Oreochromis niloticus: one gene and its partners. The protein of the gene in region 3 purifies or fractionates together with the protein of the main gene of each other region. This does not show direct contact. Links are inferred from orthologs where the notes say so. Each region holds a gene or a part of one and is shown on either strand. Other genes may lie near its edges.

What was found.
Region 1: the proteins of ptpro (region 3) and sdf2l1 purify together in Homo sapiens (affinity purification with mass spectrometry; 3 studies listed by BioGRID and IntAct, with this or other methods). This does not show direct contact. The link is inferred for Oreochromis niloticus from reciprocal best matches to the Homo sapiens genes PTPRO and SDF2L1.
Region 2: the proteins of ptpro (region 3) and dnajb11 purify together in Homo sapiens (affinity purification with mass spectrometry; 3 studies listed by BioGRID and IntAct, with this or other methods). This does not show direct contact. The link is inferred for Oreochromis niloticus from reciprocal best matches to the Homo sapiens genes PTPRO and DNAJB11.

Annotation. Positions count from the first base shown.
Region 1 is NC_031977.2:3,588,722-3,592,475, reverse strand, and holds the start of sdf2l1 (stromal cell-derived factor 2-like protein 1), read right to left. Parts: upstream 2,759-3,754; 5' UTR 2,744-2,758; coding exon 2,721-2,743; intron 2,125-2,720; coding exon 1,868-2,124; intron 1-1,867.
Region 2 is NC_031987.2:32,688,626-32,692,379, forward strand, and holds the start of dnajb11 (dnaJ homolog subfamily B member 11), read right to left. Parts: upstream 2,537-3,754; 5' UTR 2,393-2,536; coding exon 2,319-2,392; intron 1,897-2,318; coding exon 1,740-1,896; intron 135-1,739; coding exon 37-134; intron 1-36. Other genes in the region: tbccd1 (TBCC domain-containing protein 1), read left to right, coding at 3,696-3,754. UniProt on the Homo sapiens protein: As a co-chaperone for HSPA5 it is required for proper folding, trafficking or degradation of proteins.
Region 3 is NC_031981.2:22,790,575-22,794,328, forward strand, and holds the start of ptpro (receptor-type tyrosine-protein phosphatase O), read left to right. Parts: upstream 1-1,512; 5' UTR 1,513-1,694; coding exon 1,695-1,919; intron 1,920-3,754.

The DNA of each region.
Region 1 (3,754 bases), on a different chromosome or scaffold from region 3:
ACTACAGTTAGATTCAGTGTGGAGTCTGAATGTTCTCCACTGCTCTGTGTACAGACTAGTGACCTGTCCGGGTGTGCCCTGCCTTTCCCACTATTACAGGTGGGACAGTTTGGTCCATATTTTGTGGGACAAATATACCGGTAGAACACTGCATTTAATTTAAGCAGCTTTACAAAAACCACAGTCATCTTTATACACATGTCCCATTTCAGAGGTTCAAAAAATTAACAGACAATTGACTGACAAGTAGTCTGATAGCTGGGTGAGGCCTGTTCAACTGTCATTCCATAACAAATAAAGCAGACATAATATCGAAATCTGAATTCAGAGTGTTGATTTTGTCATTTAAATGTGAGACCCAAAAGAGATGTCAGTGCAAGCAGAGCTGCATGTGCATCTGAAACTGAATTGTAATCTTAAAAATGCATGTTCCACCAATAGACAGGTATGTTGTTCCCTCATGTAGTTATTTTTCCAGACTGTCAAAATCTGTGCTCTATGCAAAATGTCACAGGGGAACTAGAGGAGGCTCTCACAGCTGTCCATGAACCAATTTAAAAGGATAAACCTAGCTCAGTTTTGCATAATATTCATTTATTCTCTTTATAAGCTTAATGGTGCACCACGGCTTCTTCATGTGGCCCCATGGGAAAATTTGTTGCCCACCCTGCACCCTGTTGCACTTTGGTATACAGGTATATTTATCATGTCTCCAACTGAAGAGTGGCAAAAGAAGAAGAATGCCAGTTCACATTTGCAACAACTGTGACAGAACATCAACATGCCTATGAAGATTATGTGGGTGTTGCAGGTCAGTTAGAATGCTCACCCTAAGGCTTCAAAACAAGACCTCAGGCGATTTCCCGGTAGCACTGATAATCTGTCTATGCTTCAAGCAGTCAGCTCTCCTCTCATCCAGAGCCACTAGATTTTACACAGGCACTGCATCCACCAGCTTAGCTGCAGTGTTTCGGTTCTGATTCAGTTCTGACAATGCCTGCGGTCCAGTATGCACTCATCACAACAATCTGTTATTATAAGCTGTTCTTGTTTCTGTTGTCAGCCAGCAGTACAGCAACAATGACAGAACATTAGCAATAATGTATTCAACCCTGTACTATTAAACTATTTTCCAGTCTGCTTCTCTCCACAGCAAAGTCCCAATTTTATAGCTAACAAGTAGTCTCATAAAAGCTGCCTTGACATCAGTTAAAGTCTAGGCTGTTCTATGATTTCAGCTATATTCACTTGTAAAATGACTTATGTGAGAAAGTTTGACGTCACATGAGCCTAAAGTGGATGTGCTGACGATGTGCACTTGTCCCAGGCTGGCTACACATGTAACAAATATTACCTCGCCTTCAAACCAGCAACTTTCAGGGACGAGGCCGAAACAGAGTGCGCACATAGAGCGTGGAAGGACATCTGCTAGGATCAGACGATATGAAACATAAGTGAGTTTCATAGTTTCGGTGAGTGACTGTTACAGTATGCAAACCTTATAGCCTCTCCACCAAATGTGAAAGTCAGCCTAACCCTGGTGCTTGATGAGGACGACTCCAAACTCACTAACTTAATGGATGCTCTTATAAAGCAGGTGACTCTATAATGCCAAACTGCACTGATGGGAATATCAATTTCTCATTTTTGTGCTTATAGCACAAAAGCAGCACGCCCCCAGAGAAGACACGCACCGATGGAGCGAACCTCTTCTTAACTACAGCGTAGAAAAAGGTGGTCGGAAGTTGTGCTGGGTTGAATTTTCGGCTATTTGTTGGCTTCTACAGAGCTCTTCTAGCAGAGTAAGCGCAATACTGACGCCTCAGAGCTGCTGTGGCCGTACACCGGCAGCTCTCTGAACACTTACCTGAGCCGTACTTAACGTCGTGGGAGTGCAGTCGGACGTTGTGTCTGGTGTTGAACAGTTTGACTAGAGAGCCGCAGGTCACATAGCTGAGCTCCGAGTCTCGTCCTTCACAGCTGGACCACAGCAGCAGGAAGAGCAGCGACCTGATAAGCCCGCGGATTGTACCGACCACCTCCATCTTTGTGTCTCTGCTGTCATGACCGGCACTCACTTCCGAACCGTAGTGCTGCTTTCCACCAATCACCACTTGACAAGTCCTAAAATACGGAAGACAATGTCAACGCGTGATTGGTCAGAATAGGCATATGCGTCGTCACAACAGTTAACGCCAAACAGTAGTAGGAGTCATGCAGAAGCAGCTCCACCCCTCCAACGTTATTCCCGGTTTAAACTGCCTGTGCCTCTGATGATGCTGATGATGATGAGTAGAGGACCCTGGTACATTCGGCTCATCTGTCCTGGGAACTCAGATGAGCCGAAACAGACAAGATAAGATGTGGTTTTGCCACGCAGATGGATTCAGATCAAATCTACTTAACGAATACTGTGAACAGTAAAATAGAAAAAATCTTCTCAAAAGATGAAATAGCATTTGGTGATGTTTCAGGCCGTCACTGACCGCAAAGGCTGTTCCTCCAGATAGCTATCACCTGTTACCAGTTGGGAGTGAGGGGAAGGGAGAAGAGAGCGGAGGAAGATGGGACAAAGGACACACATGGCACCCACCACATGTACAATTTAACATACACAGTAACCTGTCTAGTATAGATGTGTTTATGTGATGTAATTTAGAAGCAAATTTCTATACATATAGACAGAGAAAAAATATGTTTTAATTATATATTGTCTTTACCAAGAAAGGGCACTTATGTTCATGCCAGTGCACTGAATCATTATGCTGCCATCATTGATAGTCAGCTGTCAGTCTCTGATCTCTCTTCTGGCCTTTCTGAAACTTTTAAATAACATAGTTATTGTCACTTTGTATTGATAGAATCCAGTTGCCCTCTGAGAACTGGGCAATACTTAATTTGATCCAAAAACACACTGAATGTAATATACCCGATCATTATGAAGATCTTGGCAATGGTCACTGGTGGAATATTCTTCGATTCTAACACATGCACACACAAAGAGTGAGAGAGGAAAAGGTGAGAGTGGGACAGAAGGATAAACAAAATAGCAAAGAAAAGAATATAATTAAATGTAGGAGAAAAGAATAGATAGAATCAGAACAGAGGTTCTGTCTCCTTTGGGTTTATTTTTACATAAGATCGACTCACAAAGTGTCTGGGAGAAGACGTGCAAAGTAAAAGACGTATAAAACCATCAAATGTAATCTCATAAACTGCCAATAGTGAAATTTAAACTATCCTAAAATCCTAAATCCTAAAATCCCTAAAATCCCCAAAATCCCTAAAACATACCTATATGGATTTACTGTATTTTAGTATTTGACTCAAATAAATGTTTTTCCTGCAGATTGATTGACTCTGCCTGTTAATCATCACACAGGCCATCTTTGTTTTTTAAACAGAATTATACGTTACATGAGTGGTGTGCGGTGACTTTTACACAAGGCAAGCATAAAAACATCCCATTAAAAATGAGTCACTGGAATTAAAATGTTTATTTTACTGTTCTGTGCATTAAACTATCAGACTGATGATTTTCTGCAGCATTAATTACGTTCTGCAACAGTGCGGTATTTTGTTTGCGTTTTGTTTTTATAGATTTTTAATCACCATCTCATAATGTCGCTGACTCATTAGTAGGATCAGATATTAGGACTCATAAGGATCACCATGTGCTGAGGAAAAGTCACATGATGCGTGAAACGCTCTTTGTTATGTGACGATGCTCAGAGCCCGAAGCAAGCCGCTATTT
Region 2 (3,754 bases), on a different chromosome or scaffold from region 3:
CTTGGTATAAAATCCAGCTGAGCTCATGAAACCAACCTGGAGAAGATATCGCTGTGAGAGCTGTGGTGACCCTCTTTGAGCCCGTCTTCTCCATACATGTCATACTGTTTCCTTTTCTCCTCATCTGAGAGGACCTACAAACAAACAACCTGTCAATCACCAACAGCCACAAGCCGCAGTCTTTGTTCTCTCCGCTGATACAACGTGTGGAGTGTCATCATTCAATGTAAAAATTAAACAAAAAAAAAAAAACATCGATGGGCTCTTCAAAGCTGTGTTAGTTTTTGAAATTGATTTTGATTCATTAAACAATGAAATGAAAAGTCAGTCAGCTGTTACTACTAAAACAATCTTAACGCTTACGTATAAAATATACACTTTTTCTTGATTTTCAAATACAAATATGAGAATACAAACAGGTGACCCATTAGAAGGAACAGCCAGCAATTACATTGAGGCTGTAGAAGTGCTTTCACCTGAGAAAAGCAGCAATGGCTCCATTCTTAGAAAATGATTAGATTTTAGAAATTCACAGCAAACGTTTCAAAAGAAAAGAAAAAAAAATCTGCTCTCATCTGCATGGAGTAGCACTAATGGCTGTTGCTACTGCTAATCAGCTCGTCATTGTCTCCCATTGTTTCAATCACAGACTATAGATAAAAGATGCTCTCCCATCATTAAGCATCAAGTTGAACCTCATTTCTTTTGTCAACCTTTTTGAAACTAGATATATGTGAGAGGCAGATCAGACTGTACCGAGAAATAATCTTCTTGACTCTAACAGTGAGCATAATTTACAACATGAAGATTATGCTGTAACAGGACTTGAAACTAGTAAGTGAGACCCTCAACCAATGAAGAAGGGCTGTTTTCCCTCATTCAGCAACAACAGGCAAAAATCCAAGTGGGGACGTCCCAGTTAAACTTTTCAGCTTCAAGGTGAACATCTGAAGAGACTACCAAAGAATGTTGGATATGTTGCTGTTTCTACAATCAGTAACCCATTTTAAATTCTGGCTTTGAAATATTTTTATTTGTTATATATTGTACCACTACTTTAGATTTCTTTAAACAAATAACAAAATGAACCATAAAGTTCAGTAGGTATCTTTTTTGTGCCTGAGGTACCTCAATAATAACAATTAAAAAAACAAAACAAAACAAAACAAAAAACAAAACAAAACAAAAAACACACAACTTAAAAAGAATTTATCTAGCTCTTGTCAATTATTTTCAAAACCGATACTTGCGTTTTATTATATTGTCATTCATTTAAATGTCCATTGACACGCCTCGACTAATAAAACCCGATTAATAACAAATTTCTGTTTTGTGTTACAAATCAGTGAACTCGCTGCGGCATCCTTCCGTTTTTAAAAGAAACGTGAACGTTTGACACGGAAACACCTGCAGCGCTTATCTGAATCCACTCCCACTCTTCCACGTCTGAATTTTCAATACACCAGCTGTGCTGCCTGACAGCCAATCAGATTCAGCCACACGGTCTAATCGTCCAATCGCAGAGATCTTACCAACAACAACCAAATTTCAGCCTTATAAAACAGTTGTATCGGCGTCTTGGGCGCTTTTATACTCACATATGATTAAATCTACACTACTGTAACCGAACACAGCTGATACTGGGGAAATATAACAGTCTTTTAACTCAAAAACAATTTCATTGTTGCTCATCGCGGATATCACTAGCATCATGTACACAACAATGGCTACACATCTACCTCATAGGCTGCCCCCAAGTCTGCGAACTTGTCCTGGGCTTGCGGGTCGTCTTGGTTTCTGTCGGGGTGTAACTGCAAAGCCAGCTTTCTGTAGGCCTTCTTGATGTCCCTGATTGATGCACTCTTGCTCACCCCCAAGATTTTATAGAAATCTCGCCTACAGGAGAGAGGAAGATAACACAAATGAGGCAGACACATGAGGCACAGAGGTAGAAGAAAAACGAGAAACCGTTATCAAATGGCAATGATGCTACTTTTAGATTGTAAAACACCGAGTTAGCTACAATCTCCGGGGGGTAAGCCAGTGTGGCTTCCATAGACAGTATGCAGCAGCTTCAGCTACCGTAATGGCTAGCTCCAAGCTAACTAGGCTAGGTAGTCACTTAAAACACGTCCCTTACAAGTGGTGGATACACTTTTTAATCAGTGAAGCGCAAAAGAGAACAAAAGCACTTATTAGCAAGTTAGCCCTGTGTCAGACTGTTCCACGCATGGAGAGCAGGTCTAGACCAATCACAGTGAAACATGTGTACCAGCTGGCGATGCTGTTTCGCCGCTGTCCGAGCGAACACCACTTACCCGGCAAGCACCGCTGTGGTAGCATAAAGAAGCAGGCAGCACACGTTACACAGGTTCATCCCTTTAGCAGCCATAGATCTCAGGATTTCTCACGGAGGTAGCAAAGAACAACCGGCTTTTTAAAGCTCGGATCCCAGCTGCCAGTCAGTCAGCCACAAGCCTTCTTCCTCCTGTCAGAGAAAGCCCGCCCACTGGATGTCGGCAAATCCTCCTCTCCCGAAAAACTCTGCCCAGCGTTAAAGAGACAGCTCACGTCGTTCTTCTCAACTCCTTCTTGTCAGTTATAACTGTTTGCACCGACGTTTTGTTTTGTTTTTTTGTTTTTGTTTTTTGTTACATGTATAAGTACAACTAATAAAAAACTGAACATTTTGGTGAATAAAAAAACCCGGACACCATGCTCATAGTGCAGGATGCAGCGCGCCCCCGCGAGCTGCGCGCAACAGATGTCTGCTGAAGTCTGAGTGGAGAGGAGGGCGCCAAATAGGAAGGACGGCAGATGTGCGTCTGACAGCTAACCAGGAACCACTGCACTCGTCCTCCTCTGTATACTCACCTATGAGTCCTTGACCTGTCGGTCCTTTTCTCATTCAGGCCGAAGATCCCAGTAACAGGACGAGGACACAAAGTCTGACACCAGAGGCGTGCTAGCTCAGCTAGCTAACTGGAGCTAAGCTAGCTGGCCAGCCCTACTTTTTTATATTGGAGTTAACTTTATGAGCAAATAGCAGTGCGCCTGGTATTACTGGTATTTGGCTTCCTTTCTTGTTGCGCCACAGCAAAAACAAGTGAGTTTTGTGCATATATTTACTGTGTTACTGGATTTGTGTTAGCTTAGTTTTGATTGGCTTGTCAAACTTGAAATTAGATGCCTAGTGTTGATGCACAAGCAGCCTGGTTGCCAGGAAGATATTTTTCACCCTGTAATTAAACGGTCATTTTTGAAGATTAGGTCTGTTGTCGCTGTACTAAAAAAAAAACAGCAATGAAAAGGTTCATGAAATGCGATGAGTTTTAAAAGAAAGTGAGTAAAGGCAGAACATTCTGCGCTGTATCTGAATTGATACACAGTTGTGTGTGTACAGAGTTAAAGTGGCCGGAGTATGAGTGACATGGTGAACTCAACAGTGTGGACAGAGGTTGAGTCTGTGCAAAATAACAAAGCATAATGTTATTGTAACTGTCCAGTTTGACCAGTTTAACTGCTAATGCTCCCCAGCTCTTTCCCTGGTTCGTGGCTAATAATCTTAATCCAGTAATTGCACTGTCATTGTGATTTAAAAGGTTTGGAAAAGTGCATTGTACTTACAGTGTCAAATACTCAAGTAATTAATTATCGGTGTATGTCACATGGTTTTGTACTCTGACTCTTCAGACATGGAGGCAAACGGCGTGAGCATATGGCCACGCATGGAACCCTTCCTACTTGGTGCCCT
Region 3 (3,754 bases):
GGTTGGGTAGGAAGTCTTTGATCCAGGAGCAGATGGCACAGGGGATCTGAAGGTGAGGATGTCTGGGATTATGGTGTTGCTGTGGTCCACCAAGAGAATCCTCACTAGCTCTTCCTAGTCTCCAGATGGCTCAGCATTTTGTGAAGGGTGATGGCTTCTGCCGTTTGCTCTTGATGCAAATTGGGGGGGTTCGAGGGAGGAGGTAGGCAGTCTCTGATGTGCTGAGACACTATCTGCCCAGAAATACTCCATGACTACAGACCTCACGTGTGTAGTGGTCATGTTTTCTGGATGTTTATTGGATGTGGTGACAGCAGATGAAGCAGCAGTCTGGTAATGCGTGGTTTCCACCAGCAGGGGGTGGAGCAGGCTCATGATGAGTCTTCAGGTCGTGAAGACAGACTCACCTGAAGCAGACAAAGCTTCCAGTTCCTGCTGCTGTTCCAGGATCATTATGACTGTTTGCAACTTTTGGAAAAAGAATTTCTTCCTTTCAAAATAAAATTCATTTTCCGTCGCTTCAGCGTCATGGAGAAGGAAACAGCAGTGACACAAACAGCTGATCAAAGTCCAGTTGCTCTGAATGGAAGGACTGTTTTTTTTACTTTCCCTCACATCTAAGGACGTCTGACCTCTATGACGTCACAGAGATCCCAGAGCAGACAGTGTGTGATAAACAGAGTGTTTGGCTTGGTCTGCAGCCTCTGCCGGAACAGGACTTACACGCGATCAGCGGGCTAACCTGGATTTCTCATCACTCTTTGCTGTCTCTGGTTCTAAGAACGCTGACCAGCATTAACCCAGCTCGGCTGGTTGTCACCTTGTTTGTTACTGCCACACGAGAGGGCGCTGTGGAGCTCCGCTGGTATCACACGTTTGACCTGACAGTGTGGTCAGTTTGTGGACATCCACAGAACTCTTAGGGGAGTAGGTATTTTGTGCTGGGTCTTTGGTAGGTAACAGTTATTTTTCATCATGATCTTGTGTTTATACTGGAACCTCTCATAGTGTTGGTCGTTAAAAACGGACATGGAGCCATGTGTGAGAGATGTTCTCCAGCTTCTAAAGGCAGACATGTTTTTGTCTCTGTGCTTGCACATTGGTTTGTGTGAAGACGCCTGGCTTCCATGTGGATACTGCTTCATGTTCAGGCGCTGTTCATTTCTGTCTCCATCTGAAAAAACAACAAATCTGTTTTGGAATCATCATTTTTACTAAAATCTTATTGTTGAGTACAGAGACAGCCAGACATGCTGGCTCTTTACTTTAAGTTACAGTAACTCTTGAGTTACAGTTACTTAATCTGAGTTACAGTTACTTACCCTGAGCTACAGTTACTTTCTGTGAGTTATTGTTACTCTGAGTTCTGATGCGATGTGATGTTAATGTGTGATGTGACATCACGTGATGGTTGTGCTTTCTTCCTTGTGTTTTTTATGTTTGCGGTGAAATAAAGTTTGGAGACAGGATGTCGTGAGTAATTTCAGACTGAGCGCCTCTCAGTGGGAGCTGATGAAGAGGAGGAGGAGCGGCTCCGGGGCGCAGGGCGGGGCGTCAGCGCGCAGCAGCAGCAGCAGCAGCTCCATCACCGACACCGTCACCGACCTGCTGGCGTCTGCGGGCCGCGGCATGGACCCCGCTGCCCGGCCTGTCTCTGAGTGTGGGCCGGTCCAGTGCTGCTTCCCGCGGTTCTGATGGTGAAGGCGGTGGGCGCTCAGAGAAGCGGAGCGGACACAGACCTGTGCGCGCGGCGCGGCTCGCGCTCCGATGCAGCAGCGGGAGGAGGAGGAGGAGGCGCCATTGTTTGGATGCGCAGCAGACTGAGAGGAAGAAGGCCCGGGATCGTGCGTGCTGACCGGGACACGCGCACCATGGTGCACCCGCTGCTCCTCGCGCTCCACCTGCTCTGCTTCACCCAGGTAACGAGCCGCACTTCCGGCCGCAGCGGCTTTGTTCGACCGCAGGAACCGGGGAGGGGGAGGAGGGAGGTGTGTGTATGTGTATGTGTGTGTGTGTGTGCACGCGCGCACGCGGCGGACACGCGACAGCTAGCAGCTCGATGTGTCTGCGGAAAGTGGGTCAGTCGGCTGCAGCATCACACACACACATAGACACAGACTCACACACTCAGTCTCACACCCACACCGTACAGACGGACTCACATACAGACACACACAGACTCACACACTCTCCCCCCCATGCACACACAGTCTCACACACATGCCACAAACACACACACATACAGACTCACACTTAGCTGGTGTATATGGGTAAATCAACTTTACACTTACAAGTATTAAGAGCAATGCCTTTATTCCTGCAATCTGAGTGAAGGAACACCTCCTGCACATGCTCAGTCTGTTCTTTATAAAGTAACTGAGTGGTTATGTGTGAAGCCAGATGTTCCTGATGTTTCTGCTGAAGCCAGAGGTTACTATAGCACCCCCTGTGGGTGTAGTCCATCAGCTGTTGACATCATCGCACAGACATGTCCATTTGGGCTTACTGTGTGTCGTTTTTGTGGGCACAGTAAAACAAGTGAGATTACAAAAACAGAGAGGTGCCTGACCAGCAGAGACATGATGTCACTTTTGTCATGCAGCGCTATTCACGGGAGTGAAAATGGCGAGATGATAATGGCCCTGTGACATGTCACCTGTGGACACTTATAAAGCACGCGTTGGTTTCACAGTTAAAGTCAGCGTGTTGTGAAGGACCAGCGACTTCCTGTCTGCGAGTTTCTGTTTCCTGTCCCTGTAAAATCATCTGGAAGCTGCAGACTTTTATTTCCTGTTCAGGGTCGAGATAGTTGTGAAGTAACGTGGCGGGTTTACAGTGTTACGGGTTCTCCTCCACCTCGTTATCCTCGTTATCCTCGCTATCCGTATGCGGCGTTAATATCCTGCTCTGAGCGCTATCTGATGCTCCAAGCTTCCAATTTCCTGTTCTCTGACAGCTGCTCTGATTTGAGGCGCGGAATAAAAAGAGTATGAAGATGAAGAATTGATGAAGCATTTCCTGTTTCACTGACATCAGCATCTTAAGTTTTGGAATTTTTTTTGGACATAACGTGACGCACATTTCAAAAAATTCAACCGTGTGAGGAACTTTTATTTCGAAGAATAAATGTTTTATCCAAATCTGCTGCTTTTTCTCTAAAATCTGGCCACAATCCTGAGGAACACAGTGAAATCACTGATATGTTGCAGCTGTTAGTAAAACATATTTAAAATCAGTGCCATCTTCAGACTGAATTTGAACTCCTTCATTAGTTGGTTCCTGCTGAAATGCACCATGGGAGTCAGTGTTTATCAACTCAGTTCTTCACTATTTGTATAAACAGTGCTGCGATTGGCTGATGGGACATTTAACTGTTTAGCAGTAACTTACCTCCTTGATTTGTTAGCAGGACTGCCCAGAAGGCAGGACTGCCCTCCAAGAGTAGGAGATAGTCACTAAGCCAGGTCTGGTACTCCTGGATATTCTCGGTCTCCTGCATCCAGGGCCTCAGATACCGTGGATTCCCAAACTGTGGCCCGTGGGCTGAAGGCCTTGGGAAGGTTTTATGTGGCACGTGATGAACAAAGACTGTTCATCTCTCCACTGCAGCCATCCACTGTTCATGCTGTACGGTAGAATGAGACGAGCCTGAAGCTCCTCAGTGCAGGTGTAATTTCAGGTCTGAACAGGAACTTTAACAGCTAAGTTAGCTTAGCACCAAGAAGTGGCACTATCAGTGTCTCAATGGACTCTA